Linked DNA regions of Macaca fascicularis. The protein of the gene in region 3 interacts with the protein of the main gene of each other region in a pairwise test. Links are inferred from orthologs where the notes say so. Each region holds a gene or a part of one and is shown on either strand. Other genes may lie near its edges.

What was found.
Region 1: the proteins of PPFIA1 (region 3) and CCNH interact in binary tests that used the Homo sapiens proteins (3 or more experiments, as listed by UniProt). The link is inferred for Macaca fascicularis from reciprocal best matches to the Homo sapiens genes PPFIA1 and CCNH.
Region 2: the proteins of PPFIA1 (region 3) and PTPRD interact in a two-hybrid assay, tested with the Homo sapiens proteins (2 studies listed by BioGRID). The link is inferred for Macaca fascicularis from reciprocal best matches to the Homo sapiens genes PPFIA1 and PTPRD.
Region 4: the proteins of PPFIA1 (region 3) and TXLNA interact in binary tests that used the Homo sapiens proteins (3 or more experiments, as listed by UniProt). The link is inferred for Macaca fascicularis from reciprocal best matches to the Homo sapiens genes PPFIA1 and TXLNA.
Region 5: the proteins of PPFIA1 (region 3) and PPP2R5D interact in binary tests that used the Homo sapiens proteins (3 or more experiments, as listed by UniProt). The link is inferred for Macaca fascicularis from reciprocal best matches to the Homo sapiens genes PPFIA1 and PPP2R5D.
Region 6: the proteins of PPFIA1 (region 3) and PTPRS interact in a two-hybrid assay, tested with the Homo sapiens proteins (2 studies listed by BioGRID). The link is inferred for Macaca fascicularis from reciprocal best matches to the Homo sapiens genes PPFIA1 and PTPRS.

Annotation. Positions count from the first base shown.
Region 1 is NC_088380.1:91,395,147-91,400,694, forward strand, and holds the start of CCNH (cyclin-H), read right to left. Parts: upstream 3,436-5,548; 5' UTR 3,326-3,435; coding exon 3,209-3,325; intron 1,887-3,208; coding exon 1,764-1,886; intron 1-1,763. UniProt on the Homo sapiens protein: Regulates CDK7, the catalytic subunit of the CDK-activating kinase (CAK) enzymatic complex. CAK activates the cyclin-associated kinases CDK1, CDK2, CDK4 and CDK6 by threonine phosphorylation.
Region 2 is NC_088389.1:90,156,585-90,162,096, reverse strand, and holds the start of PTPRD (receptor-type tyrosine-protein phosphatase delta), read right to left. Parts: upstream 3,557-5,512; 5' UTR 2,965-3,556; intron 1-2,964.
Region 3 is NC_088388.1:4,341,455-4,346,249, forward strand, and holds part of PPFIA1 (liprin-alpha-1), read right to left. Parts: intron 2,034-4,795; coding exon 1,887-2,033; intron 168-1,886; coding exon 33-167; intron 1-32. UniProt on the Homo sapiens protein: May regulate the disassembly of focal adhesions. May localize receptor-like tyrosine phosphatases type 2A at specific sites on the plasma membrane, possibly regulating their interaction with the extracellular environment and their association with substrates.
Region 4 is NC_088375.1:202,838,114-202,842,908, reverse strand, and holds part of TXLNA (alpha-taxilin), read left to right. Parts: coding exon 1-17; intron 18-2,277; coding exon 2,278-2,472; intron 2,473-4,795. UniProt on the Homo sapiens protein: May be involved in intracellular vesicle traffic and potentially in calcium-dependent exocytosis in neuroendocrine cells.
Region 5 is NC_088378.1:128,543,871-128,549,399, forward strand, and holds the start of PPP2R5D (serine/threonine-protein phosphatase 2A 56 kDa regulatory subunit delta isoform), read right to left. Parts: upstream 3,637-5,529; 5' UTR 3,548-3,636; coding exon 3,521-3,547; intron 1-3,520. UniProt on the Homo sapiens protein: The B regulatory subunit might modulate substrate selectivity and catalytic activity, and might also direct the localization of the catalytic enzyme to a particular subcellular compartment.
Region 6 is NC_088393.1:5,985,357-5,990,151, reverse strand, and holds part of PTPRS (receptor-type tyrosine-protein phosphatase S), read left to right. Parts: intron 1-96; coding exon 97-272; intron 273-353; coding exon 354-473; intron 474-2,327; coding exon 2,328-2,482; intron 2,483-2,567; coding exon 2,568-2,853; intron 2,854-3,049; coding exon 3,050-3,228; intron 3,229-3,967; coding exon 3,968-4,094; intron 4,095-4,178; coding exon 4,179-4,304; intron 4,305-4,795. UniProt on the Homo sapiens protein: Cell surface receptor that binds to glycosaminoglycans, including chondroitin sulfate proteoglycans and heparan sulfate proteoglycan.

The DNA.
Region 1 (5,548 bases), on a different chromosome or scaffold from region 3:
CAGAACTTATTTATGGAAAGGTTTCTTTGTAGAGATTACCCAGAAAAATACTAATACTCATTAATTCTTCTTTAATCAAAATAAATTGTGATGAATTACTACAGAAATGCCATAGCCAAAAGATCCTTTCCCATCCTTTGCTTGTCTATCCCTAGCCTACCCTGGCTAATCCTTCCTATGGTCACTGGATTTAAAAATACGTGAGTGTGTATGTTTTAGAAGTCAGAGTATCAAAAATGTCCTGAATTAGATAAATTCAGGAAGAAAAATACAAATGTTCACAGATTAACCAATCTTATAAAAATAATGAGCAAGGCAATAAGCCTTCTCTCTAAAGCCACTACATATTTGTGATATTGTTTTGTATCCATTCCCATGATTTGTGATCACTGCTGCCAACTGAATGGCAGAAACAGCACTACCATTTACTGAATGCATACCAAGTGCCAGACTCTGTGATAAGCACAAAACTATCATCATGTTTTAACCCTTACAACAGCTTGGTGAAATATTGCTATCTCTACAGAGAAGGAAACTGAGTATCAATGAGGTGAACTGACTTATCTAGGTCACACAGCTAATAAGGAACAGGAATGAATTCAAGTAAGACCTGCCTGTACTTTTAACCATTATATCATTTGGCTGGAACCAATGAAATAACCACTAATCTATTTTATGATAGAAAAAAGAATATTTCCTTTTAAGTATTTTAAAAGTTTAGTTTTGTCATTATGTATAACAAAAAATTATTCACCAATGATAAACATGTTATTTAAAAATAAATTCCATAAAGAAGTTCATTAAAGGATTTTTTTCTTCATTTGATAAGATCACTTAAATTTACTGCCTCATTTTAGTTCTTTTGTAAGAATAAACCAAATCTGAAGATATAAACTAATCAAGTATACCTAAAACTCTCTCTGAATCTTTGATATCTCAGATGAAAAAAAAATTATAAATTCTATGGACTTAATATTTTCAACATACTTCAAATTTTTTTCAACTATAAAAATGGAGATAATTTCCCAGAAGATTATTCTCTACTCGGTCGTAAGCTAGTCACACTGTATAACTTTAAAATTTAACAGTCTTTTACTTAAGATACACTTCTATATTTGTTCTTTGCAACAAACCTGTGAGAGAATAACGTAAAGACATTTTAAACACCCTCCCACTCTAGCTTTTTTATCTTTCTGCTTTTTAATCTCAGCTACCTGTTTCTCCTCACGGTTGCCCACCCCAGCAAAAAACAAACAGGTCCTCAGAACCATACATCTGAAGCAATAAGACAATCTTTTTTAACCAAAGATAAAACTCCAGCTTCTACTAATTAAGGCTTAAAAAAATCTTATGGTATCAGTTTCAGCTGGGGCATATGATTACCAATTATGAAAGAATGCATTACTTCAAACATTTATTGGGTGTCACAGAGTTGGAAAAGCAAGTAGTCTATGTTCTAGTCCCAGTTCTATGGCTCACTAGTTGAGAACTTAGAGGAAAGTAATTTATTTTGTTTCTTTCTTTATAACATTACCTGACCTCAAATTTTTTTCTGACCACAAAATGAGACTTGAAATACTTTTGAAGATATGATACAGCAATTCAAGAGTTAAGGCCTGAACTGAAAAAGATATAATGTGCCAAAAACTAATTAATTGTAACTAACGTGAATTTTTAAGACTAGAGTGGACAGGGAATTTAGAAGAGGTCAAATTTCACAAGTCAACTAAAGGACATTATATTTCATCACTACTGTAACTTACCACAACAGACCTTGGCATTGCTGGCTTAAACACCGAACAGAATTCCAATAACCTTTTCTCATAGTATTTGCAGAGTGTCATTTCTTCATGAGGCTCAAGAAAGACTGGATCATTCGGAAGAACCTTTAGATCAACAATTACAACACAAGTTCAATGAATTCAATGAATTAAACAATTGTAAAACATTTTTCTCTATCCAGATTAAATTTAGTTTATATCTCCAACGAAGGGGAATATATCACGCCTCGTTTTCTTTATAGATTCGCTAATCATTACACAAAATAGCTGTAGGAAAACAATAAACTAAAACTGTACCATCATTTCACAACTTTTCGGAATGTCAGCTAGACCTTTGCTTCATTATATAAACAATCACGATAGGCTATGTGCATATGCTCACAGCTGTGATATCATTATTTACAAATTTAAAAGTAGATAGACTTTTTACAAATATGATTGGAAAGCTTCCAACATTCGTTTCTCGGTCAGTCATTACGACACAAGTTGTAAAAAAACAGCAAATGTTTCAATAAATTTCTGTTATTTTAAGCTACCCAGTCTGTGGTGATTTTTTTAAGGCAGCCCTTAAGGAAACTAATTCAGGTGCTAAAATCAGTGATGTGAATTAAAGGTAGAAAGTAAAGTAATTCAGTGTCAGTAATTTGGAGGCACTGAACACTTGCTGGAGTGGAGCTTGTAAGAAAGATTAAACCAGTCCTAGAGCTGTAACAGAAGGGACTTGGCTAGCGGGCCACAGTCCAAACCTTATCTTTAGTCACTTGGTTTGTATTCCGTCGCCGGTCTCCCGCCTCATCCAACCCATTCACCACGAGGTTGCTAGAGCGCTGTTTCCAGAACGGAAATCTGATAAGGTTAGCTTCCCATTTTAAATATTTCAAAGGTTCCTCATCCTTTCAATGGAAATTTCAAACGCCTCACTTCCACTTACAAACAAGTTCCCTTCCTACCCTCCCCAGCCATTCCTGTACAGGTACTCACATTCGGCCACATACGACCACAAACACGTCCACGCACCAGCCCTGTAACTTCTGACCTCCCTCCCACTCTGCACGGTAGTTCTGACTGCCTGGAACGTCCTTTCCCCATTTTCTCCGCATTGGCTACTGGGAAAAACCTTCCCCAACATCACCGCTTGACAAGTGAACGGCTCTTGCCACGCACTACCTTAGCACACTACCTACTCTCTTCTTCACCACGTTACAAAGACTGGTTACTTGTCTGCCATTCGACCACGGGGATGGCGTTGTTCGTCTTTGTACCCACGGAACCTCGCGAGGTGCTCGCTTATTTTAATAGATAAACGCACTCCGCGCCGCAGAGGCAGAGAAATGAGGGAGTGAGACTGTCCTGGGAGCCAGAAGAGCTCCCGCAGCTGCTCAGAATTTAGTGACCAAGCAACTGGGCAACCGTCGGGAAAACCTCACCTTCCCGTTGGCCACCGCTTTGCATCTGAATTTGCGGTTGGCGTCGGCCCGCAGTCTTGCCAGCTGCTCCTCACTGGAGAAAGTCCAGTGCCGCTTCTGGCTACTGTTGTGGTACATTGTGGAATCGTGACCAGGTCCAGACAGCCTACAGGTGACAACCCAACCGCAGCAGTGCCGTGGCGTAAAGCAACCGAACCCCCACCTAAGATCTCGCGGAAGCCTAGGGCGTCCGGCCAGCCGGCGCGGGCGCGCTGACGTCACGACTGCGTGTCCAGCGCGTACGCAGTCGCATTTCCGGAGCGGACTAGGAAGAGACCTTATCCAGGGTTCGTTGGGGCGCCCTCTGAGACGTAGGTGGGCGGAGCCTACGGAACGCTCCTCCCGGTGAGCCTGGGACATAGCTCCGCCCCTTCCAGGCAAGATTTAAAGGAGAAGCCCGGCAGGAATGTTCAAAAGAGGCATAAACTGAGGGTGTGGGGTAGGTTGATGTAAATTCACAGGGTGTAATCAGAAATTAGGAAAGGACTTGGTAGGGTGTTCATTTTTAAATGGAGGCCTCACTGAAGTTGACATTTGTGAAAAGGCTTTTTCGAGTTGAAATAGTAGGTTGATCAATCATGTAGGGAGATCATGGGGCCCAGAAAGAATAGGTAAGATCTTCAGGCAGAAGCATTCCTAGCCCTTTTCAGGAGGAGTTTGGAGATCGGTGTTCTTGAAGTACTACCAGAAATCTCTGAGAATGGAACATGGCTGAAAAACTTGAAGCAGTGGATGTGTATTGGCCCTTACAGTTTGCCACTTTTGTTGCCTTGTCTATTCTTTCTCTGTGCAAAAAGCACTTTCCCTTCTGTTGATAACTAGCCAATCCTCTCCCCCTATTTTCACCTCTGAAGCCAAGATGTATGGTAGTTTTAGTTTTCTTGAGATTCCCATCTTCATTGCCTCTAGGGAATCTTACAGTAAGCTATCATGAATATTAAGGTATTTACTAGTTTTTAAATTAATAGGACTTTCAAAATTGCAGGTGAGATCCAAAATTTATGTTGATTCTGAAGTGTCCCATTTAGGCATACCTTATTCTCTCATGTATTTATTATATATCCAAATTTCCCTATGGCAAATAGCTTTTCTAAATAAATAAATAAATAGAAAGAGAAAGATGATGAGACCTAGAGAATTTAGGTCTTGAAAAGCCTAAAAAGAAGTGGCAGGATGGCTTTAACTCTGCTTTCTATGAAAATGTTTTTAGAGGCTTAAGATAGGGAAAGTCTTTTCTTGTTCATTTTTGTTGGGTGCAGTTGAGGTTAGAGTTTGCCAGAGTTATTTGAATTCCTCAAACTTATGCCATTTGTGGTTTATAATTTTGGCGATCCACACACTCAACATATGTGGCTAATCTGGTGTCGTAAATTGGCTAAGAGAGAAAAAGAGAAAGAGAAGATTGAAGGGCATGGCAAATTGATAACAACGAATTGTGAACAACCTAAAATGTTGCATATGGGGGAAAGAATAATTTAATGGAGAAAAACATTAATGGTACAAAAGATAGGAAAATAAGTGATCTAGATAATTAAATGTCTATATAAAGTATTAGACTCATGACAGTTATATATATCATATAAATTCTTTTCATTTTGTTTTTCTGAAAGATATTTGACAACTCCTTAGTTTTATGTAAAGGAAAATAGAAATAGGCATTTAAAAGAGTTGGCAGACTATGATTTCTACAGGGATATGAGTAAAATTTCTGAATGTCACTTAGGAAAAATATATGAAAAACTTGGCATTGCTGGTGTAACTTTTTTTAAACCTTGAACAAATTTTAGTTCATGAAAATTGACATTGATCTTATTTTTCAGTTGTAGTAGGAATTGGGCTGTGTCTAAATTAACTGTCTGCAGAATACAATTGTTGCTGATGCCCTAACATTAAGGCTCATGTATGATTTTTTTTATTAAAGTAAGCAGACTGGATGCTGTGATGGTCTCCTACTTAGCCTGATGTGCGAAAGTGTTTCTTTGCTATTGCTACCACAGGAGGCACACTGGAATGTAGAACTTGTGCATTTACCTATTTCCATTTCTAGTTTCAACTAAAAAGCAGCAGGTGTTTCTCTTCACTTCTATTATTTTTACTTACTTTATTTATGGAAAATTTCAAATATAAAGAATACAGAGAAATATATTTCAAAAATTATCAATACATGGCCAATTCCCCTCTACCCCCACTCACACCTCCATTAGGTTTTTTTCTTCTTCTTCTTTTTTGAGACAAAGTCTTGCTCTGTCACCCAGGCTGGAGTGCAGTGGCACAATCTCTACTTACTGCAATCTCCGCCTC
Region 2 (5,512 bases), on a different chromosome or scaffold from region 3:
TAGTGCGTCTTCAGTCCAGGTCCCTCAAGTGCTGACTAAACTGTGGTCACAGCCTCAGATTCTCTTTCCATACAAACTTGTACAGCGCTTACAAAGCTAGTTTAATCACATCATCAATCTATGCCTATACTTCCCTTAAAGTAATTCTGCTTCATTTATCTTTTAACCCTACATTATGCAAATGACATCCTTATCAGTCCAATAAAGAAAAGTTATTAATGTTCCTTCTTGTTTATCTTTGCCATACACTGAGAACTGGAATCACATATGAATTTGCACCAATACCTTTTCTCTTTTCTATTTTTCACACTCTATATGAAAATCATAGTGTCAGAGAAGCCCTAAATAAAATTCTTGAAATAGTCTTCAATCATTGTCTACAACTAGCATCAGAGTATGAGTTAATGTATTAAAAAGGAAAAAACAAAAACTTGGGGGGAATGCCTACGTGATTTTTTTTTTTTTAATGTCTCTCTAGGAAGGCTTTGCATATGCCATACCAGGATACCTCCTGGATATAAGAACAGTTATACAGGCCCCTAGTGGCTTAGCAAATAGCAGCAGATGAGGGGATTCCAATTCTTAGTTCCAGACTTTGAGATATTCTGGATTTAAATAAGAGTCCATCTTAAAAGGCAAATCAAATCACTGTATTTAATACTTTAAGCAGTTTTACATCTATGGTTATCTACTCTAATGCACATATATTAAAATAAATTGCTGCATTTCATTACTTGAGTAACTGCACAACTGCTCTGGCCCAAGAAGAATCTGTGTTACATAACCTACACAATGAAACGTTTAATTCATCCACCTCTTTACATGTCATGCAAAAGTAATACATTACTCAACTATATTAAAATATATTTGAGAGAGACACTGTTCCTCTTTGAATCTTATTCCTATTATATATTACTAAGCGCTATAAGAACAGATGATTTCTGTGTAAAGTACTATTTAAAATAAGATACAGATAAAAATTGAATGCCACTTTTACAGGAGTAAAAATCTAAACGTATTTCCCAATAACAGCCAGTGATACAACTCACATTGGAGTGCACCTATTTTAAAAGATCTACAATTAATAACACCCATTAATCCCCCATCCCCTTGCTGTCCTTCCTTCACAAAAGAAAATTCCAGGCAGGCACATTTACAGCTTTTAGCAATTTTTAACTGGACACAATCTGACAGCTGAATTCATGAAACTGACCAGCTTGTCAATTTCACACTTTGAAAGTACAATAATAGCTGATAGCATGAGGGTGAATTTAAGAAATCTGCCACAGAATTGCTAGCTCCATTGAAAAGCAAAGTACAGTACATAATTATGGAATGTGGGAGGTAGGGAAAATTTTACTGTCCATTTAGGATGTCTGTTTCCGTAAGTCAGACACGGAGCACTGAAAATGTGTTCTCTTTTTGCTATAGTGTCTGTAGCATAAAACAGAATATATATTCAAAGTAAGAAAGATACTAAGCCTTTTACTGGATATTATTATATTACATATACAACTTAATCTTAAGTTATTATCATCTACAGATCCCTTTACATCAGAATGTTTCAAGTCTTGGTATATCATCCTTGTTTTACTCAAGTTGAGTGGTTGGTGTGTGCACTTTGAAACAGAGAAAAAATACTCAAAATGGTCAGAAGTATCTGTGATTGAACTAACTCCCCACAGACGTGCTACAGGATGGTTAGAAAAGAACACACCAAAGGGTAAAGTCCACATTTGTAGCTCAGTAAATCTAACAGCAAATCTATCTCAAGTCATAAGCAGTTACTAGCCTTTCAGAGGTTCAAAATGTGTTAGCTACACTCTGTTAAGTCACTGGCACTGTGTCTTTGGGCATGTAAATACATGTGTATATATATATATAACTTTAATAGGAAATACAAGGAGAACGATCCCTCAGGAATCTTCCTAGATACTTAAGGTGCAAACTGTAGATGAGGCTGGGGGGTTACTCTGAGAATTTTAGAAAACAAGAGACATTTGGCAAGTAGTGTACTGGGAGGCGAACTGGAAACAATACAAGTGGATTGTGATAGTCCTGGTTTTGGAGAATGGAACTACTATCTGGAATTCTGAAACACCCAATTAGTGAAAGCCAAGCTCACACTTGGTGTTCGAGATTTTAAGCATAAGACTTAAAAACTGACTTCACATGTTTGTGTTTTTAAATGAAATTCAACGTCCAGAGAAGCAATGCAAGTTTTCTACACACCTACATAAAAGCTACAATAAATCTATAGGAAAGCAAAAAATCTTTGGTTTGTTCGTGGCTTTCTTTTTAAATTGTTTCCTACAACTTTGCCTCTTCATTACAAATGATGCGTCCCCTTCCCTACGGAATGAATGTGTGTGTTAAGTGCACCAGATTCCCGCAGCTGAACTACGAGCTTTGATTCTGCCACGGAAAGGTCTCCCAAACAATCCCCCTCCTCTATGGCAGCTGCGTAGACTTTGATTCCTGTTATTTCTCCTTCTCCCCACTAGTTCAGAGGAAAGAAAGAAAAAGAAATCGCCCCCTCACCGTAATCAGCCCTCCTTAAAACAGTAATCCTTGCCTTTAAAAAAGGCGGTGGCAGGATCCCTGGGTAAGGGTGCATTGCCCCACTGCTCCACCATTCCCCCCCAAATACTACGCCCACCCTAGGAGGAGAAAGCGGGGGTCGCACAAATACACATACCCGGACACCCTCATTCTCTAGAGTCGCCTCTCTCCCGGGTCTAAGGTTTCAGGCGAGAAGTGAACCCTGCAGGGGAGGACCTCTGCCCGAGGAGGTTCAGAGGAGCAAACTGTGCGCTCCGCTGCCCGGGCGCCGGGCTCGCGGAAGCGGGAGCGTGTCGCTCTGGCCGGGGAGGCGCCGGCAGCCGGAGCTGCGCGCAGGGCGATTCCCGAGCAGCCAGAGGGGAGAACACAGCGGGGCGGACGGGGTCAGTTCCAGGGACTTACCTGGTCATGTTGGCTCTGGGCAGCAGCCGCCACCGCCTCCCGCGCCGCCACCAGCACTTTCCTCCAGCGCCTTCGCGCCCTGCCACGGCCGCGCAGCCGGCGCCGGCCCGCGCCGCCGCCTCCGGGCGGCCAATTTAATCCCGCGGAGCAGCGGCCGCTGCCGCGGAAGCCCCTCTGGTCGCCGCCGCCGCCCAGCCCTCGTGCGGCCAGCCCAGTCCAGAGCGAGGAAGTGGAAGAGAGTCAGCGAGTGAGTCCAAAAACCCGAAATCCAGCATCCAAGGGAGCGCGTCCCCCCGCCCTCCCTCCACCCCTACCCCCTTTTCCTCCTCCTCCGCCTCCTCCTCCTCTTCTCGGGCCGTCCTCTTGGCCCTTCTGAGCCCGCGGCTTCCGCGGCGGTTTCTCCTCCTCTCGCTCCTCCTGCTCGCCCGGCGCCCGTTTCTCTCGCTGCCGCTGCCGCCGCCGCCGCCGCCGCCGCCGTTTGTCTCCTCTCCCTCCTCCTCCTCCTTTTCCTCCTCCTCCCGCTCCTCGATGCTCCGCCGCTCGCGGCTGGGGGGTCCGGGGCCGCGTCTCCTCTCCTCCCTCCGCCTCTCCTGTTTCCTCCTTCCTGCTGCCTCTTCTTTTAAAGCGGATTCTTTGGCCACAAATAGCAACTCGGCTGCCCCCCTCGGTGCCTCCCTCCCCTTCTTCTCTTCTTCCCCCCAAAAGTGAAGCGCACGCGAGGTAATCAGAAACTGAGGCTCGTGGGGGGAGAGGGGTGCGAGGCGACGCCTGGGAAAGGGCCCGAACAGAGTCAAGGGCCGGGAGGTGGGGTGGCCAGCCCAGCCCAGTCTTTGGACCTGGCGTGAACCTGGTAGTTACGGCTGCAGACGAGGTGGTTTGGTGGGGGAAATTAAACAAAAAAGCCCAGGAAAGTAATTGGAAAGGCTTCTCTCTTTGTTTCCTTGTCTGGGTGATTTCTAAAATCCTCGTAACGTGCTGGGGATCCCACGGTATTGCTGTGCTCCAGCGCTGGGGGATTGTGTGTGCGCGTTGCCTGCGCGTGAGTGTGAGTGTGGGTGCGCCCGGACGCGGGGAGAGCTGGGCCTGCTGCGCCTGCTGGCGAATCCCTGAATCTGGACCACTGACCCACTGAAAGGGCCAGAGAGCTGGATGAAGGAGGGGCAGGCAGGAGTGGTGGGTGAAGGAGGCAACACAAACACACACACACACACACACACACACACACACACACACACACCCACCAGAGGAGGGGGCGGGGTGACGTCACTCCCCAGCATTCATCCACCAGGCCAGAAAAGACCCTCTCTAACAGATTCACTCATCTCCTAAGAGATGCACACCCGGGCGCTTCCTGCTCTGCGTCCCAGCGCAAAGGAGGAAAAAATGCTGGTCGCGCCCTCTTCACAGCAGTGATAATAATATAAGGAACGTGCTTTAATGAAACACAGTTTGTGTCCGCCCCAGTTCACCTTGGCAGCCTCCTTCGGGAATGCTTGTAGGATCCACTTTGAAGGCAACGAGGAAGGCAGGGAAGTATTGAACCAAAATCTTAGTGTGATAACTTGTTTTGCTATCGTGCCACTTGCTTTTATGATGTTGGAAATGCAGTGCTCCTCAGCTTCTCTGAAGGACACTATAACACCCTCTTCCCTAGACAAGCACCCAGTTGTTGGGCTATGCACTTCTCATCCACACAACCCAAGGTGACTAAGGTGCACTGTGTGTGTTGTTAGCTAAGAGATGGATTTTAACCTTCTTCGCTACTCACAGGATCTCCAACATGTGGAAAAAGTCAGCAGCTGGAAGCCACCATTGGCAGTTGGCCCATCAAAATTTATTAGAAACTTGGTCAGAACGGTTAAATAAAGTAAAGCTAGAGCTCACCAGCCACCTCGATTGCTCATTCTATGTTCAGGCCAGCACATACACACAATACTTATTCCTGTAGACTCCAGGCTGTCTTTGAAAGAGCAAACGTAAACAGACCCCCTTAGATTTGACTTAATGATCCAGCATCCTGACTGTTTTCTCAAGCTGCCCATTTATTTCCACCATCTGCATGCTGTGCTGTTGAAAGCCACCAAAGGATTGGTCAGTAATCCTCTGCCCCCTATGTACTCCAAAAATAAGTCACATATTTTTGAAAAGAATCTCGCTAAACGAAGTTCAGTTTTCTAGCAATTTGGGGGTGGGGGAGGAGCATCCTTGCATGATTGTCTCTTGGTTTTTTGTTTTTGTTTTTTTATGGTTAGCGTCATAGTGAAAATCAGGAAGAAATCAATTCCTGTGCAAGCCTCCAAGCTAGGTTTACCCTCCAATCATTCTGATTTCACAGCAGTTGAAAAGCTGTGCAGGGATGATGGACACCTGCCCCCTGTGACCTAAGGATGGATCCAGAAATCTCAGCCTCCCCACAGGTGATTCCACCCAAGATGTAAACTCCAACTTGGCTTTCTCATTGCCACATGCGCCCCCATAAACTGGCAATCCCACTTTCATCATCCAAAGTTGCATGTTAGAGAAACAGAAAGTTTTAAAACCCCTAATA
Region 3 (4,795 bases):
CAGCCGAACCAGAACAAAGCTCATGGCACTACCTTGGAAAGCGCTGCCACCCTCTGGGCCAGCTCCGCCTCCACCTCAGGGAGCGTCTCTGCCTTCCTCAGTGTCTGCTGCAGCTTTTGCTCTGCCAATTCCAAGCGCTCCTGTAACTGGCGGTTTTTATCTTCAGTCTATAAAATGAGAGCAAAGCATCAAAATGCAGCAAATCTTCTAGCTGTATCAGTTTTTAGCAGATTGAAACAAACTGAAATGCAGATACAGACTAAGAGAGTCATGATGGAAGAGCTACAGTGATGGGGGTTGCTTCTGGGTCAGGTGTGTGTGTGTGTGTGTGTGTGGTGTGTGTGTGTGTGTGTGTTGGTGTGTGTGTGTGTGTGTGTGTGTGTGTGTGTGTGTGTGTGTGTGTGTTTTGAGATAGTCTTGCTTTGTCACCCAGGCTGGAGTGCAGTGGCACAGTCTCGGCTCACTGCAACCTCTACCTCCCGAGTTCAAGCAATTCTCCTGCCTCAGCCTCCTGAGTAGCCGCAATTATAGGCATGTGCCACCACACCTGGCTAATTTTTGTATTTTTAGTAGAGACAGGGCTTTGGCATGTTGGCCAGGCTGGTCGTGAACTCCTAACCTCAAGTGATCCAACTGCCTCAGCCTCCCAAAGTGGTGGGATTACACGTGTGTGCCACTGTGCCTGGCCTGGGTCAAATTTTCCTGTTGCCTGGAGTACATGCCCACTTTCCTGGGCTTCGTTTCAATGTGCAAAACACCTCTTGCCAAAGTATTTGCTCTTCCTAAATAACTTCTAAGAAACTTTTTTTTTTTGTTTAAAGACAGAGTCTCGCTCTGTCACCCAGGCTGGAGTACAGTGATACTCTTACAAGAGTAAGTATGGTTTAACGAAACCACAGGAGACACAATTTCTTACTATAGACTTCATTGCCTTTTTTTTTTTTGAGACGGAGTCTAGCTGTGTCGCCCAGGCTGGAGTGCAGTGGTGCAATCTTGGCTCACTGCAATCTCTGCCTCTCAGGTTCAAGCGATTCTCCTGCCTCAGCCTCCTGAGCAGCAGCTGGGATTACAGATGTGCATCACTATGCCCAGCTAATTTTTCTATTTTTAGTAGAGACAGGGTTTCACCATGTTAGTCAGGCTGGTCTCAAACTCCTGACCTCATGATCCGCCTGCCGTGGCCTCCCAAAGTGCTGGGATTACAGGCGTGAGCCACCGTGCCCAGCCGCATTTTTTATTTTAGACACGGGGTCTTGTTCTGTGGCCCAGGCTGGAGTCCAGTGGCACAATCATAGCACAGTGAAGCCTTGAACTCCAAGGCTCAAGTCATCCTCCCTCCTTAGCCTCTTGAGTAGCTAGGGCTAAAGGCACATTCCACCATGCCGAGCTAATTATTTATTTTTTTAATTTTCTGTAGAGACAGGGTCTTGCTATGTTGACCAGACTGTTCTCACATTCCTGGGCTCAAGTGATCTTCCCGCCTCAGCTTCCCAAAGTGTTAGAATGACAGGCATGAGCCACTGCGTCTGACCAAGACTTTATTTCTCATACCATTCATTTATCATAGTGCTCCCACTTAGTAACAAATAGCCAGTTGCCTTGAAGTTCTTTGCCACTCTCTCCTCCTTTGGTAAAAATGCTAAAAAGCAATAGATTAACTTTCAATTACAACAAAAGAAAAAATTGAGGACAAAATGGTTAAATCAAATCCTACGTTATCAAAACCTGTAAACTGAAGGAACTCCCACATATCTTGAACATAATATTCTAAGGTCATAAAAACTTGATATTTGGACTTGATTTCCAACATGAAAGTGAGAGAAAAAGGGTCTTTAATTTCATTAATAATTAACTGAAGCCAGACAAAGATCGATAAAATCCATTACCTGTCGATGCATAGAATCTTTATTTGCAATTTCATTTTCAAGTTTATCATTGAGGTCATGCACAGATGTGGCTTCACGCTGTGCAGCGAGGTAGCGTTTTTCAAGAGTAGTGATTCTCTCTTCCATGTCTTCCTTTTGGGCCATGGCCTAAATTAGTATTTCAGAGGGGACAAAAAAGTACGTAATTAACAGATTACACATTAAGATACTTAAGAGAGAAAAAAACTGAACTAAATCCCAAATTTCCAATCAAATTAAAAATTAGCATCTTCAGGCCAGATACAGCAGCTCACTCCTATAATCACAGTACATTGGGACGCTAAGATGGGAGGATGGCTTGAGGCCAGGAGTTCAAGACCTTGTCTCTACAAAAATATTGTATTTTATTTTTTGAGACACAGTCTCCCTCTATCACCTAGGCTGGAATGCTGTGGTGCAATCAGGGCTCACCACAGCCTTGACTTCCCAGGCTCAAGGGATCCTTCCACCTCAATCTTCCCAGTAGCTGGGACTACAAGCGCATACCACTATATCCACTAATTTTTAATTTTTTGTAGAGATAGAGGTCTTACTATGTCGCTCAGGCTGGTCTTGAATTTCTGGGCTCAAGAGATCCTCCTTGGCCTTCCTTTGGCCTCCCAAAGTGTTAGGATTACAGACGTGAGCCAGCATCCCTGGCCAAAAAAATTTTAAAGAAACAAAAATTAGCCACGCATGGTGGCATGCCCCTGTAGTCCCAGGTACTTGGGAGGCTGAGGCAGGAGGATTGCTCGAGTCCGGCAGTTCAAGGCTGCAGTGAGCTATGATGGCACCACTGCACTCCAGCCTGGGTAACAGAGAGAGATCCTGTCTCAAAAAAAAAAAAAAATAGTGTCCTCAAAATTAAATTGAAGACGACGTCAATTTTCTCAAATGTGAATGAAAATGTAACTACCTCAAATATCATATTCACCTATACGATTAACAAAGACTTGTCTCTCTTAATACTATGTCTAGCCACTCAGTTGACCAAGTTTTCCCATTTCTACATAATATTATAAACATATATACACTCAAATATCTAAATATTTTTCAAGGAGGTGAAAGTGACCTCAAAGACGACGCAGTCTGTGTCTGCCTCACGCTACAAATGGTCTTACACAGGACAGGGTGTGGCCTCTCTCAATGGATACAGTAGTGAGATACAAGTCTCACTTTCTAGGATAAGGGTTAGATGAAATCTCATACAATTACAAGATTCAGGCATATTGACAAATGGAAACAGAAGTACAAGTTCAATTTAATTGGACGCAACTACCTGAAGTCTGCAAGATGATTACTAAACAGTATCAAACACTTAAGGCTAGGACCAGAACTTTTTGCTTGTGAAATACCTGTCCTCCACCCCCAGAATTCACTATTTTCAAGTTGTTCCCTATTTATAAAATGACTAAGGTTAGCGAAGTGATAACTATTAAAAGTGACTACTAAAAGTCATAGGGGAAAAAAGCTCAACATCACTGATTAGAGAAATGCAAATCAAAACCACAATGACACAGGATCTCACACCAGTCAGAAAGGCTATTATGGAAAAGTCAGTAACAGATGCTGGTGAGGTTGTGGACAGAAAGGAATGTTTTCCTACTGTTGGTGGGAGTGTAAATTAGTTCAACCATTGTGGAAGGCAGTGTGGAGATTCCTCAAAGACCTAAAGATGGAAATACCAACCCAGAAATCTCATTACTGGGTATATACCCAAAGGAATATAAATCGTTCTATTATATAGACACATGTATGTGTATGTTCACTGTAGCACTATTCACAATAGCAAAGACATGGAATCAACCTAAATGCCCATCAATAGTGGACTGGATCAGGAAAATGTGGTACATATACAACATGGAATACTATGAAGCCATAAAACAGAATGAGATCATGTCCTTTGCAGAGACATGGATGGAGCTGGCGGCCACTATCTTTAGCAAACACAGGAACAGAAAAACAACATACCTCATGTTCTCACTTATAAGTGGGAGCTAAATGATGAGAACACAGGGACGCACAGAGGGGAACAACACACACTGGAGGGTAGGAGGAAGAAGAGGATCAGGAAAAATAACGAATGGGTACTAGGCTTGGTACCTGGATGATGAAATAATCTGTACAACAAACCCCCAGGACACAAGTTTACCTACGTAACAGACCTAAGCATGTACCCCAAACTTAAAAGTTAAAATAAAAAATAAAAAATAAAAGTGATAGGTCTTAAAAGAATTTCAAAATTCTCAGCATGTTAATCTCTGCCACATAATCTCCCGCTATAGCCAAAGAATAGAACCTAGCAGGTGATACAGCACACACACATGCTCTTCCTGTGGCGAATTCCTACATGAAATTACTCATGCCAAACTATCACACTGAAAAGCAGACGTTCCACGGTTGAGGCGCCTGACAAGGGACAAAGCGCAGGTTAGAAAGTGACAGGAAGGGCACCTGAGAAAGAACTCAGCCTCACTGTTCCATGATCAAATAGTTTCTCATAGTGATAATGGCAGAAATACTTGTCAGCAATGAGTATACTGCGACATATTTTTACTATACGATCCTGATGACCCACGTAGAAGCAAATTCCACTCTTGATTATTTGTCTGACCATCAATATTCAATGCCACGAGTTCCTTGAAGGAGCAGGTCAGAAAACGAGAAGACCGCCAGCAACGCCCCTTCCCACAGTTAACAGACTATAGTCACATCGCCCTACGTGAACTAGCACAGCCAGGATCAACGTCTGCTTGCTGAACATAAGAACAAATTAAGACAGCCTAGAAATTGCACAGATGAAGAATCTACAAACAAGGACATTAAAGAATATCAAAGCAGCACAGGTAGGAGGGGCTGGTGTGGCGTCCACTCCATGGCCACATCAGTCA
Region 4 (4,795 bases), on a different chromosome or scaffold from region 3:
ACAACCGCTCCCTCAAGGTAGGCCTGGGCCCCCTGGAACAGGTGACTCTGATTTCCTTGACTTCCACTTAATGTTTCTTTCATGGGCTTTCCTCTTAAAAAGTAATGGAGGCTAGGCCTGGGTGCAGTGGCCCACATAAGTGATTAAAAATCTTCTGGCCACTCTAAAAAGTAAAAAGAAACAGGTGAAATTAATTTTAGTAATATATTTAACCCAACATCCAAAACATTACAATTTCCACATGGAATCAGTGTAAAAAAGCAAGGCTGGGCATGGTGGCTTACGCCTATAATCGCAACACTTTGGGAGGCTGAGGTGGATGGATCACTTGAGGCCAGGAGTTTGGGACCAACCTGGAAAAAGAAACCCCATTCTACTAAAAATACAAAAAATAGCCAAGTGTGCTGGCACATGCCTATAATCCCAGCTACTTAGATGGCTGAGGCACGAGAATTGCTTGCACCCGAGAGGCTGAGGTTGCAGTGAGCCAAGATTGCACCACTGCATTACAGCCTGGGCAACAGAGTGAGACTTGGTGTCAAAAAAAAAAAAAAAAAAAAATGCAGACTTGTGGCATAGAAATACACTTTCTCGGCCGGGCGTGGTGGCTCACACCTATAATCCCAGCACTTTGGGAGGCCGAGGCGGGTGGATCACGAGGTCAGGAGATGGAGACCATCCTGGCTAACACAGTGAAACCCCGTCTCTACCGAAAATAAAAAAAAAAATTAGCCGGGTGTGGTGGTGGGCGCCTGTAGTCCCTAGCTACTCGGGAGGCTGAGGCAGGAGAATGGCGTGAACCTGGGAGGCGGAGCTTGCAGTGAGCCGAGATCGTGCCAACTGCTCTCCAGCCTGACTCCGTCTCAAAAAAAGCAAGACTCCGTCTCAAAAAAAAAAAAAAAGAAATACACTTTCTCAATAATACCTTACGTTAGAGAATGCTGCTTATAACCATTTGACATGTATTAGTTAAGGTGAAGGATAAAGTACTAAGAGAATCCATAATGCACTGGCGTCAGTATTTCTTAATGAAATGACAGTCCCCTGGTAAGTGGAGGAGGCCTGGCTCTGACAAGCAGCTCTTGTCCCAGAGGTTGGTCAGTCAGGAACCTGGGTCCTTCCCATGTTCTGCTGCTTCTATAGTGAGGTCAGTCTGTGGTTACAGCAACTTTAAATACAGCCTTCTAACTTTCCTTTTTATATGTAAAATCTTATCTGTAGTTTCTGGAATGAAATTATTATACATGTACCATTTCGTAACTTATGCCTTTTTTCACTTTACATAACGTTTTTCCCTATCAGTATGTGTAGGGCTATTTTCTCATCATATGGATATATCAGTGCCCTAGTTAAAGCATTTGAGGTTGTTTACAATTTTTCATTATTACATATAGAACTATAGTGAAAATTCTTGTTATATTTATCACTGGTCAGTTATATAGAACTTATCTGTAGGATAAGTAATGGAAGTGAAATGGCTAGGTCACAGTATATGCAGATTTTTCATTTTAATAGATTTTGCTGGATTGCCTTCCAGTAAGGGGGCAGTGTGCCTGCCACATCAAAAGTGTTGAGTGCCTAATTCTACACAACTTCGCAAACCCTGGGTGTTACTAAATTTTAACAGCTTGGTCTCTGGGGGTACAGAGGGGACAAATGCACATTAATCTGAAATCTGGAAGAATAGGCCTTAGGAGATCCGACTTGCTTCAGAACGGCACTTACATGTGTGCATGTGTGCCTGCATTTTTTCTTTTTTTTTTTTTGTGGGGCGGGGGGACAAAGTGTTGCTCTGTGGCCCATCGCCCAGGTGGGAGTACAGTGGCGCAATCTTGGCTCACCACATCCTCCGCCTCCCAGGTTCAAACGACTCCTCTGCCTCAGCCTCACAAGCAGCTGGGACCACAGGTGCACACCATCACGCCCAGCTAATTTTTGTATTTTTAGTAGAGACGAGTTTCACCAATATTGGCAAGGCTGGTCTCGAACTCCTGACCTCGTGATCCACCCACCTCAGCCTCCCAAAGTGCTGGGATTACAGGCGTGAGCCACCGCGCCTGCCATGTACCTGCATTTTTGTAGGGGGAGAATCTCACTTGATGTCACCTGATATACAGGGGGGTCCATTGGAACCCGCATTGCACAACATCCTGGAGCCTGGCTACTCCTCACTTTGGGAGCAGGGAGGGCTGTTGGCAGAGACCATCTGTGGACTAGCTGGGGGACCCTTGTGAGGTAGCAGTGGATGATGGTTCTAGGGCTGACTTCTCTGCCCAGGAAGAAGGTGTGCAGCGGGCCCGGGAGGAGGAGGAGAAGCGCAAGGAGGTGACCTCACACTTCCAGGTGACACTGAATGACATTCAGCTACAGATGGAACAGCACAATGAGCGCAACTCCAAGCTGCGCCAAGAGAACATGGAGCTGGCTGAGAGGCTCAAGAAGCTGATTGAGCAGTATGAGCTGCGAGAGGAGGTAAGGGTATCACAAACAGCAATCATGGCCCAGAAATTGTGAGGTTTTTGAGTGTGTGCTAGGCACTGGGACAGTACCTTTTCAGGCTTCCTCCCATTCTCCCTTTCTTCCTCCTCCTCCTCCTCCTCTTTGGGAGGAGAGTAATGTTATTCCTCATAGATAAAGAACAGGTGGGGAGAAGAGACTGACAGCCACACAGCCCCACGTCCACAGTGCCTTATCCCAAACGACTAGGCCAGGTATCTTTTGGAATTAGAACTATCCACATTTTAGAATGGAGGCACATATGTGGACTGTGTGTTATATAGCACCCTCAGCAGGGCCTTGGGGAAGCCAGACATGTTAATGTTTATGCAGTAGAACTTCCAAATACTCACCTAGATTATGGGCTTACAATGATGCAGGTCAAGTTTGGCTGCCAGCTTATGACAATTTCCATTTTCAGAGCTTTGTAGAATTTGGAATTGCAGAGGAGGGGCTGTGCCTGTGATCAGTGATGGACTCCAGAGACTGTGTCCACTGATTCCTTGCTGCTCCTGCCACTTAAAAGGCAGGATTGGCCGGGCGCGGTGGCTCAAGCCTGTAATCCCAGCACTTTGGGAGGCCGAGACGGGTGGATCACGAGGTCAGGAGATCGAGACCATCCTGGCTAACACGGTGAAACCCTGTCTCTACTAAAAAATACAAAAAAACTAGCCGGGCGAGGTGGCGGGCGCCTGTAGTCCCAGCTACACAGGAGGCTGAGGCAGGAGAATGGCATAAACCCGGGAGGCGGAGCTTGCAGTGAGCTGAGATCGGGCCACTGCACTCCAGCCTGGGCGGCAGAGCGAGACTCCGTCTCAAAAAAAAAAAAAAAAAGGCAGGATTATTAGGCCTGCGTGGTGGCTCATGCCTGTAATCCCAACACTTTTGGAGGCCAGAGCGGGTGGATCACCTCAGGTCAGGAGTTCAACACCAGCCTGGGCAACGTGGTGAAACCCTGTCTCTACTAAAACTACAAAAGAATTAGCCAGGTATGGTGGTGCACGCCTGTAGTCCCAGCTACTCGGGAGGCTGAGGTAGGAGAATTGCTTGAACCCAGGAGGCAGAGGTTGCAATGACCTGAGATTGTGCTACTGCACTCTAGCCTGGGTGACACACCAAGACTCTGTCTCAAAAAAAAAAAGCATGTCATTCCCTTTGTCACTGTTGGCTGCCACGCCAGGCACTTGAATCTTTGGGTCTTCCATCCAGTCACCTGGCTGTTGTGGGCGCGTTCTCATCATGAGAAGGGAGACCTGGAGCCCCCTTACAGGGCTGGCAGAGGACCTGCTCTGGAATAGGCCCTTTCCTAGCCCCTGGGGTGTGGCAGTGGTGAGATGGGCAAGATTTGCCCTCTTAGATTCATAGGCCAGTGTGATGATCGTGTGTGCAGGACCTAGAGGGCACTCCCCTGACCCACCCCTTTCCTTGCCGGACTTCATCCTCTGGGAACAAAGCAGCTTGTTTGGTTTGAGGGGAGTTGGTTTGGTTCTTATCCCTCAGCACTGAGACATAGAGGCTTCCTGGGCCACTATAGTGAGACACGAACTTCAAGAATCTGAATACCCCCGTTTTCTCTCCCCACCAAGGCAGAAAAGGATTTAGTATTACCTGTGGAGAAGGAGTTGCAGGACTACCAGGCCCTGCTGCTTTGCATTTACAGCCCTCCCCAGATAGACACAAGCACTCTCATCATACCCAAACTGGACTTACCTGCAAGGCTCCTTCCCTTCCCCATCCAAAAAAATGGAGTTATTTTCCCTTATTTCAGCAAGTCCAGTTGATTTTACCTTTGAAGTAGCACCTGAATCCTTCACCTTCTCTCCATCCCTTCTCTCTCACCTGACATAAGTCCCCAGTGCTCCTCCAGTAGGCAGGACAGCCATTCCTTAGGGATGCACATGTCTAGTCTTTGCCTAGATATGGCAAGTCTTTGCCTACTGAGCTAGGCTGTCATGTTCTTAGAAGCATTGTTTTTGCCCATTCTTCCCATTTACAAGAGAATCAGGGACACAGAAGTGAGGGCTTCCAACCCCATAGGTGATCAATCCTGGGGTCAGAGATTTGAGTGTGTTTATTGCTTGGCTTCTTGGGAGCAGATTCCATCCATAAACCATGTACTTACCAAAGTCTGACTCACTGGGAGAGAAACGAGGTGAGCTTGGAAAGATGACCTTCCAGAGACTTGGGGCCCATGTTGTGTGGTACACATGGGAGTCCAGCATATCAGATTGAGATGGGGGGCTGGGCAAAGTGCCCTGGTCTTTGGCTGTGGGGCCACCCTGAGAAAAGGAGCTCCTGA
Region 5 (5,529 bases), on a different chromosome or scaffold from region 3:
GGGCACAGTGGCTCACGCCTGTAATCCCAGCACTTTGACAGGCCGAGGTGGGTGGATCACGAGGTCAGGAGTTCAAGACCACCCTGGCCAAGATGGCGAAACCCCGTCTCTACTAAAAATACAAAAAAAATTAGCCAGGCATGGTGGCAGGTGCCTGTAATCTCAGCTGCTTGGGAGGCTGAGGCAGAGAATTGCTTGAACCCAGGAGGCGGAGGCTGCAGTGAGCCGAGACTGCGCCACTGCACTCCAGCCTGGGCAATAGAGTGAGACTCTGTCTCAAAAAAAAAAAAAAAAAGGCCGGGCACGGTGGCTCACGCCTGTAATCCCAGCACTTTGGGAGGCCGAGGCAGGCAGATCACAAGGTGAGGAATTCAAGACCAGCCTGACTAACATGGTGAAACCCTGTCTCTACTAAAAATAAAAAAAATTAGCCGGGCGTGGTGGCAGGTACCTGTAGTCCCAGCTACTCAGGAGGCTGAGGCAGGAGAATGGCGTGAACCCGGGAGGTGGAGCTTGCAGTGAGCCGAGATCGTGCCACTGCACTCCAGCCTGGGCAACAGAGCGAGACTCCGTCTCAAAAAAAAAAAACACGAACATGTTTGGACCCAGCCCTGTGTTTTGGGCCCAACTCTTACTAGCTATATAATCATAGACAAGTTAACTAGACTCTCTAAGCCTCATCTCAGAGAGAGTTTCCTCATCTATTAGATGACGACAATATTAGTACCCTCTTCCCTCAGCACAGTGTTAAGGCACATGAAAACCGTAGTGCTGGTCAATGTTATTACTATTACTATTAACAAGAAAAAAGTCGGAGGGGGCAGGGGCACCCTACTCAGGAAAATAAAAGAGGTAAGTCCCAGAGGAGAACATGAAGGAAGGGGAGAGAGGCGAATCCCTCCAAGAGATTATCTTAGCACCTATCCACTAAGCACCTACTTACTGTGTGAAAAGGAGTTGCCAAACAAAATGAAACTTAGTTATTATCTCAAGGAGGAAGAAAAGGCTTGTCCACAATTAATTCCCATCCAAGGCCAAACACAAAAGGACCGTAAGTGGCCTACTAAGTGCTCTGCAAATCCAGAAAAGAAAGGAGAGTTCACTCCTGACTGAGGGCTCAGAAACGCTTTAGAGAGGAAACTGTAAAAGATGGCCAGGAGAGAGGAGACAGGTCACAGAAGAGCATTAAAGATCCTCCACCCACAGGCATCCAGGCAAACCTCAGTCACACTGTCAACCCCCCTCAGAGCCTGCCAACCCCCCTCAGAGCCTGCCAACCATTGAAGAAGGCCAAATGCAGCTGAAAATCAAGAGCAGAAAACCTTATAGGGAGGTGAGAGTTATGCCTGGCTCCACGCACCCCAATCCTTCCAACACCTTTTCCCAACCAAACGCTTACACCCATGGTCCTAGCAAGTCTCACTGGGAATTTGTCGTCTTCTTCACAGACTAGTAGGCTATTGCTTTCTGGGGATGGGACAGTATCTAGTCCAACAGATTAAAAATTACAAATGGGTGGGGACCTCACCAGCTTTCTCCGAATTCCATTTCCCTTAGCCCCTGGTGTGGTTGATTTCTGTGTGCATTGTCTACAACTGAGCTACCCAAACCACCTCCACATGCCCACTCCCCAAGGACAGGGCCTGGGTGGGGCACACAACCCTGTCCAGCTCACTACCCCCAGAAGGCTCACCATGTGGTACACCATCACCAACCCTGTACGTAGAACCTCAGGCCCTGAAAAGTTAAGGGGACAACCCAGAATCAGAGCTGCCTGGCAAATACAGAACAACCCCAGGAGAAAAAGTATGATTGAAAAGGTCAGAGATGGCAGCCCAGTAACCCAGCCAATCAGAGGGCAAATGAAAGCAATATACCTCTGGGGTCATCAAGCAGGTGGCCAGAACACCAGGCCAGAGCCAGCCCCCACCAAAAAGGGCCAGCCCCAGGAGAGGAGAAGCTGGGGGAGGCTGGAACTGGTATCCTAGCATCCTTTGTGTGAGTCTGTACCTCAAAGGAACCACACCTCTGAGTCAGACCTCAGCAACAGCAGGAAACAGAGGGTAGAAAAAGGCACGGATGAGGAACAGAGGAAGGCGGTACCAAGGTAGAAGAAGAAGGTGAAAGAAAGCAACATTTAAGAACTGGCCTGTGGGTTCACACCTGTAATCCCAGCACTTTGGCAGGCCAAGGCGGGCAGATCCCCTGAGGTCAGGAGTTCAAGACCAGCCTGACCAACATGGAGAAGCCCCATCTCTACTAAAAATACAAAATTAGCTGGGTGTGGTGGTGCATGCCTGTAATTCCAGCTACTTGGGAGGCTGAGGCAGGAGAATCCCTTGAAGCTGGGAGGCAGAGGTTGTGGTGAGCCGAGAGCGCACCATTGCACTCCAGCCTGGGCAACAAAAGCGAAATTCCATCTCAAAAAAGAAAGAAAGAAAGAAAGAAAGAAATGGCCTGTGTCAGGACATCATGACAAAGACATAGGTGTTCAGGGGTGGCTGGCCTGCAGGCTAAGAAGAAACAATAATCTGACAGCGAGCGCAAATTCCCAATTTGAAGACGGTGTAGCTCAGGAAAGGCAGAAATTCAGCACCGGTGCAAAAAGAAACAAAAAAAAAAAAGGAAAAATGCAAAGGTTATCCTAGGATTAGGAATAAGGATGTGGAGCCTTCTCAGATTTGGAAAGGTGACTGGTTTAGGATGCACCTGGGAGCCAGTTAGGAGGGCTTTGATACAAAAGAGGCCTTTAAGTCAGGAGACCTGATATTGCAGCTGGGCCTCCAGAAGTCTGTGTGACCTTGGACAAGTCCCTTGCCCTGTCGGGGCCTCAGTCTCCTCATCTGTACCATTAGGGATTGCACTGCATGCGCTCAGAGGTCCCTTACAGCACCGTCGTTGTAAGGTTCCATCAACAGAAGGGCTCAGTCCTGCTTACAAGTTTGTGTGTGAAGGAAGAACTAGAGGGAGGGGCCTAGGCCAGATTTGGGTGGAGGAGAGAGAAAGCAGCGCTGTTCTAGGTCAGGGGCTTGGCATGGAAAGAGAAGGGGCCGTAGGGGACTGTGGGGCGGCTGTCCCAGGCGGGTAGGAAGAGGAAAGGGGCTGCTCAGGGCGGGGGGAGGGGGCAATTCTGGAGGAACGTGCAGTTTCAGATGAGGGGCTGCCCAAACCGATGGGACATCGGGGCCAGGGGTGATGGGGGGACAGAAAAAGCAGGACAGTGACCTGGGAATGGGGCAGATCTGGAAGAAGGAGGTTACCCTGGGCCGGGGGTAAGAGAAGGGAAGAAGGGAGGGAGGTGTATGTGGGGGGAGTCTCTCCGGGCAAGGTGGGGGAGCTGTCCTAGCTGCGGCACAAGCTGGGGGTGCTGCCAGTCGCGGGGGCGTAGGGCTGGCCCCAGGAGTCCTGCGGGGGCCGGACGGGAGGGTCAGTCTGGGGCCGTCCCGGGCCTGGCTCCGGCCCCTCCCAGAGCTCCGCGCAGGCTCCAAGGCGGCGGTGCGGGAAAAAGGGCCACGCTCACCTTCTCCTTTTTCAGTTTATAGGGCATCTCGGCCCGTCCGGACCCGGCCCGTCTCCTGCGGCCCCGCTCCGGCTCCGGCTTTGCTCGGCCGCACTCGGCCCGCTCGGCGTCTCTTCGCCACCGCCTGCGCGCAGCGCCCGGGTCGAGCGGTGCCTGCGCCTCCAATTGGCCCGAACTCCTACAAAACTGCCTGACAACCAGGCGCCGCCTCCTCGGATTGGTCATTGGAGCCAAGCTGCTTCCTTTTTTTCTTATTGGAAAGAAATAGTACAAACCGCCAGGGTTCGGCTTCCAGAATTGGCTGAAGTGGGTGGTCCCGCCCTAAAGTGGGTCGAGCTTAGCGAAGGAGGCGGGGATAAGGGAAACCCAAGCTTGGCTAGGACTGCTGCACTCCAGCGTCTGCTGTGCGTCGGCCTCGGCCATTCTTCGCGGCGCTTGGAGCCCTGCTCTTTCCTTCTAAAGGGGCTCTCACACTTTGCCTACTATGCTACCCTGTATAGTCGGAATTGGAGGAAGGAAGCCCTAATACGGAGGGCACCTTTCTTCACCGGGGTAAAGTAACGCTAATTGCGGATGCAAAATTGATGGAGGGAGCTCCCAAGGACCTTCCAAGACACCCGCCTCCCTAGACAGGAGTTGCAGAGGAGCAAAGGGGAAGCCTGGCAGGGCTAGGACCTGGTCGAAATGAGATGAGAATCCTTGGCTTGGTGTAACTTTAGGAAGAGGGTCCCCGTTCCTACTGCAAGTGTACTGGGATTGGGGAACAACTAGATTTCAGCAGTTGGGAACACAGTGGAAAAGCAGCTTCATTGTTGAGTGTCTGAGGAAATCCATCCCTTACTTGCCACCCTGCTCAAGTCAATGTTCTAATGGATAAGACTCAGTTCATGCCCACAAAGAGTTCGCAGTCTGGTGGATCACAGACGTGTATAAACAAAGGATTAAGAGAGAATGTAAGCCAGGCAGGCACGGTGTCTCACGCCTGTAATCCCAACACTTTGGGAGGCTGAGGCAGGTGGATCACCTAAGGTCAGAGGTTCGAGACCAGCCTGGCCAACATGGCGAAACCCTGTCTCTATTAAAAATACAAAAATTAGCTGGGTGTGGTGGTGCACGCCTGTAATCCCAGCTACTTGGGAGGCTGAGGCAGGAGAATCACTTGAACCCGGGAGACAGAGGTTGCAGTGAGCCGAGATCACAACACTGCACTCCAGCCTGGGCGACAGAGCAAGACTGTCTCAAAACAACAACAATGACGACAAAAAGAATAAGCCTGTGGCCAAGTGCGGTGACTCACACCTGTAATCCCAGCACTTTGGGAGGCCGAGGTGGGCAGATCACGAGGTCAGGAGTTTGAGACCAGCCTGACCAACATAGTGAAACCCCATTTCTAGTAAAAATACAAAAATTAGGCAGGGTGCGGTGGCTCACGCCTGTAATCCCAGCACGTTGGGAGGCCAAGGTGGGCAGATCACGAGGTCAAGAAATCGAGGCCATCCCAGCCAACATGGTGAAACCTCCTCTCTATGAAAAATACAAAAATTAGCTGGGCATGGTGGTGCGCGTGGTGCGCGCCTGTAGTCCCAGCTACTCGGGAGGCTGAGGCAGGAGAATCGCTTGAACCCGGTGAGTGGAGGTTGCAGTGAGCCAAGATCGTGCCTCTGCACTCCATCCTGGCGACAGAACGAGACTCCATCTCCAAAAAAAAGAGAAGAATAAACCTGTGATGCAAAGGCATAAGAATGATACAATGGGCCAGGCGCGGTGGCTCACGGCTGTAATCCAAGCACTTTGGGAGGCCGAGACGGGCGGATCACGAGGTCAGGAGATCGAGGCCACCCTGGCTAACATGCTGAAACCCCGTCTCTACTAAAAATACAAAAATTAGCCGGGCGTGGTGGCGGGCGCCTGTTGTACCAGCTATATGGGACGCTGAGGCAGGAGAATGGCGTGAACCTGGGAGGCGGAGCTTGCAGTGAGTGGAGATTGTGCCACTGCACTCCAGCCTG
Region 6 (4,795 bases), on a different chromosome or scaffold from region 3:
AGCAGTCAGAGTGAACTTCCAGGAGGTGGTTGGCCAGACAGAGCCAGCCTGGCAAGACAGCCCCCACAGATCCCTGGCCTCTCGCCCCGGCTGCAGGCATCGTGGGTAGTGATTACATCAATGCCAACTACGTGGATGGCTACCGGCGTCAGAACGCGTACATTGCCACGCAGGGGCCGCTGCCCGAGACCTTTGGGGACTTCTGGCGTATGGTGTGGGAGCAGCGGTCGGCCACCATCGTCATGATGACGCGGCTGGAGGAGAAGTCACGGGTGAGCCTTGGACCCCACGGCCCTCAAGCCCTCGCCAGCCAGCCTGGCCCTTGCTGACACCTATTCTGTTGCCTGGTCTAGATCAAGTGTGATCAGTACTGGCCCAACAGAGGCACGGAGACCTACGGCTTCATCCAGGTCACGTTGCTGGACACCATCGAGCTGGCCACGTTCTGCGTCAGAACATTCTCTCTGCACAAGGTGAGGCCCGGGCTGGGGGCTGAAGGTGGAGGAATGTGTTGGAAGGGAGGCAGAGGGCCCCAGCTTCTACCCAGGGCACTCCCCATAGGACAGAGAGAAAGCCAAGTGTGTCTACCCAGACTGACTTCATTCTCGTGGAACCCACTTCCGTGGAGGGGGAAACTGAGGCTCAGAGAGAACACTGCTTGTTTCCACCCACGGCAGGACAAAGCTGGCAGAGCCCAACTCAGCAATGAGCCTGATTTCCTCTTGCCTTTACTCATGCCCCAGGTCCTCTTTGCCCACTGTCCTCTGGCCTCACCCAGCTTGAGCCTATGATGGGGCCTCAGCAGGGCCCCAGCCCTGTCTTCAAGGAGTGTCCAGACAGAGATGGACAGATACTAGCAGCCCTGTGAAGTCAGGGCTGGGATGGAGAAGATCTTTTAGATACGTATTTAACTGATGGCTGCTGTCCATAGTGTGGTTCCATCTGTTTTTCTCCATCTGTGGTTCTGAATTAGGACAATTCTGCCATCCAGGGGACATTTGTTACTGTCATAATGGGGAGGGGAGGCGCTACTGGCACCATGATGTATCCCCAACACCCAGCCAGGTCATTGCACCATCAGGCACCTGCTTGATCTAAGTACCAGAAAACTGAGTACATGGACAAGAGTGAGTGAGAATTCTTGGTTCAATCACACACATTAAACACGTGTTATGTCTCACTCGCTAACCTGGACACAAGCACACAACAGGGACCTAAACAGATAAAACGTTCTGCCCTTGGGGGACTTAACAGTCTAGTATACAAGACACAGACCATGACTGAAACGTCAAGAAAGCTTACGTGTTGGAGAAAAATAGGGGAGAAAAACAGTGTCAGGGACCTGGAAGAGGGTATGATAGGGAAATTTGGGAGAAGAGCATTTCAGGTGAGAGGGTGTAGCCTACGCAGAGGCCCTGGGGCAGGACCGTGCCTGGCGTGTTAGAGGAACAGCAGGGAGGGCAGGATCCTGTGGACCTTGGGGAAGACTTGGGCTTCGACCGTGTGGAAGGCAGGAGCCATGGAGGGCTGTGGACAGAGGAGGGACCAGATCTGACTCAGGCACTCAGGTGCCCTCTGGCTGCTGCAGGGAGGACAGACTGAGGGGTTTGGGTGGGAGCCAAGGTCTGGGGCAAAGAGGGTGGTGACAGTTCTAGCCCAGGTTGGCCTCCATGGAGAAGAGCAGGTGGATCGGGATAGACTTTGAAGGCAGAGCCGACAGTCCTGGGTGAGGTGTTAGATGTGAGAGGGGAGAGTTAAGGGTGACTCTCAATCTGTGGCCAGAGTGCCCAGAAGGTTGGAGCCATTGGAGCCACCTTCAGCTAAGATGGGGGAGCAGGGTTGGGACGAAGGCCAGATACAGTTGACCATGTTGTGTGAAGAGTCCACAAGACTCTACTTGGAAACATCCAGGGGCAGCTAGAGCCCACGTCAGGCACTTAGAGACGTGGAGACTGGGAGGTGCAGACATGGGCATTTTTTTTTAGATGGAGTTTCGCGCTTGTTGCCCAGGCTGGAGTGCGATGGTGCAGTCTCCGCAATCTCCACCTCCTGGGTTCAAGCGATTCTCCTGCCTCAGCCTCCCGAGTAGCCGGGATTCCAGGCATGCACCACCACGCCCAGCTAATTTTGTATTTTTAGTCGAGACAAGGTTTCTCCATGTTGGTCAGGCCAGTCTCGAACTGCTGACCTCAGGTGATCCACCCACCTCGGCCTCCCAAAGTGCTGGGATTACAGGCATGAGCCACCGGGCCCAGCCATTTGGGCATTTTCAGCACATGGGCGGCAGGGTGAGCCAGAGTGACGGGTGACATTCTTGTGGTCCCCAGAATGGCTCCAGTGAGAAACGCGAGGTCCGCCAGTTCCAGTTTACGGCATGGCCAGACCACGGCGTGCCCGAATACCCAACGCCCTTCCTGGCTTTCCTGCGGAGAGTCAAGACCTGCAACCCACCAGATGCCGGCCCCATCGTGGTTCACTGCAGGTACGTCCACCCCGCTCTGCCCCATCTGCTTCCCCCGGCCCCCGCAGCCCAGCAGCCCCTGAACTCCACGTGGCTGTCCCCGCAGTGCCGGTGTGGGCCGCACAGGCTGCTTTATCGTCATCGACGCCATGCTGGAGCGGATCAAGCCAGAGAAGACAGTCGATGTCTATGGCCACGTGACGCTCATGAGGTCCCAGCGCAACTACATGGTGCAGACAGAGGACCAGTACAGCTTCATCCACGAGGCCCTGCTGGAGGCCGTGGGCTGTGGCAACACAGAAGTACCTGCACGCAGCCTCTATGCCTACATCCAGAAGCTGGCCCAGGTGGAGCCTGGCGAGCACGTCACTGGCATGGAACTCGAGTTCAAGGTGCCAGCGGGGTGGAGGCTGCCGTGGGCAGGGTGGGGAGGAGGCCCAAAGAGCCAAAAACCAGGCTCGCCCCGAGCGATGGGGACTAGAAGGTGGCGGCGGGGTGCCCCTACCTACCTATCCACCATTGGTGCTCCAGCTGAACGCATAGCCTTCCTCATCCTAATGGTGGCCCTTGGCCTCCTCCTCCCCACAGCGGCTGGCCAACTCCAAGGCCCACACGTCACGCTTCATCAGTGCCAATCTGCCTTGTAACAAGTTCAAGAACCGCCTGGTGAACATCATGCCCTATGAGAGTACACGGGTCTGTCTGCAGCCCATCCGGGGTGTGGAGGGCTCTGACTACATCAACGCCAGCTTTATTGATGGCTACAGGTAGGTGTCACGCCGTTCTCACCTCGGGGCCCCAGAAGGACCCCATCTCTGCTTTCAAGAGGCCCCCAGTCTTGTGGGAGACAGAGCTGGAAAGATACTGGCAGTCCTGAGCTGTTTAAATACACATCTTTAGATGTATATTTAACCGATGGCTGCTGTCCATAATGTGATTCCATCTGTTCTTCTATATCAGTGGTTCTCCACTGGGGTAATTCTGACACCCTGGGGATATTTCTTATTGTCATGGTTACTACTACTGGCACTGACTGGGGACACCAGCATCCTACAGTACATAGGACAGCTTGTCCCAGAGAACACTCCAGTACCAAATGTCAATAGCACTGAGATTGAGAAATCCTGGCAAGAGAGGGGAGGGCGTTCCGGGCAGAGGGTGCCACACGTGCGAGGGCCCGGAGCTGAGAGCCGGGCCCGTGGAAGCAGCTGAAAGTAGGGCAGTGGCCCTTGAAGGAGGTGGAGGGGAGAAATCAGGAGAGGTTAGTGGACAGTCCCACAGCTTTGTCAAGGGATTTGAATTTGTCATGAGGCTGGTGGTTTCCCCGCATGCAAAACGGGATCACCAGGAGGGGATGTGGTGCACCCGGCATCCATTCCTGGCAGGCAGTTGGGGTGGTGGGTGTAGCTGTTGCCGGCTTGGTCCTGACCCTCCCGGGGCAGCATCAGGTGAGGACCACGCTGGGTCTCCCCGCCAGCCCTGGGCTCACACACCCCATGCCTGCAGGCAGCAAAAGGCCTACATCGCGACACAGGGGCCGCTGGCGGAGACGACGGAAGACTTCTGGCGCATGCTGTGGGAGAACAATTCGACCATCGTGGTGATGCTGACCAAGCTGCGGGAGATGGGCCGGGTGAGCCAGGGACCGCGGCGGGGAAGGGCGAGGACCAGACTGTGGCTCAGACAGCACTGACCACGGCCACCCTCTCCTCTGCAGGAGAAGTGTCACCAGTACTGGCCGGCCGAGCGCTCTGCCCGCTACCAGTACTTTGTGGTAGATCCGATGGCGGAATACAACATGCCTCAGTATATCCTGCGAGAGTTCAAGGTCACAGATGCCCGGGTGAGTCTAGAGACAGATTGGCGGAAGGGGCTGGAGTCAGGCTGGGCCCCACAGGCTGTTGCCTTAGTGATCTGGAAAGGGCTGCCCTGTTTGGTGATGGATACGAAGGCCGAGGGTAAGGGATGAGCGCTAGGAATCAGGAGAAATGTTAGCGGACCAGTTGGCCACTTGCTCCTACCACCACATAGGTGGAAGACAGGGTCTTGTCTCTGTGCTGACCCTGTAGTGTCTCCACGCACTAGGGAACATGGTCCCAGGGGATGATATTCAAGGAAATGAATGGGGCTTTCCCCTGGAAGCAGCCACCTGTGGAGGAGGATATTAAAAGGCTGAAAGGGACTTGAGGAATTGAGGGTGATGGGTGGTAGACGGGGGACAAGGAGAGTCAGATGGTGGGGATTGGCACTGTTGGGTGAGGAGAGATGAGTACGGATGGTGTTGGCTCAATGAAGGACTGCAGTGTCAGGTGGAGGGAGAAAGGCCACATATTA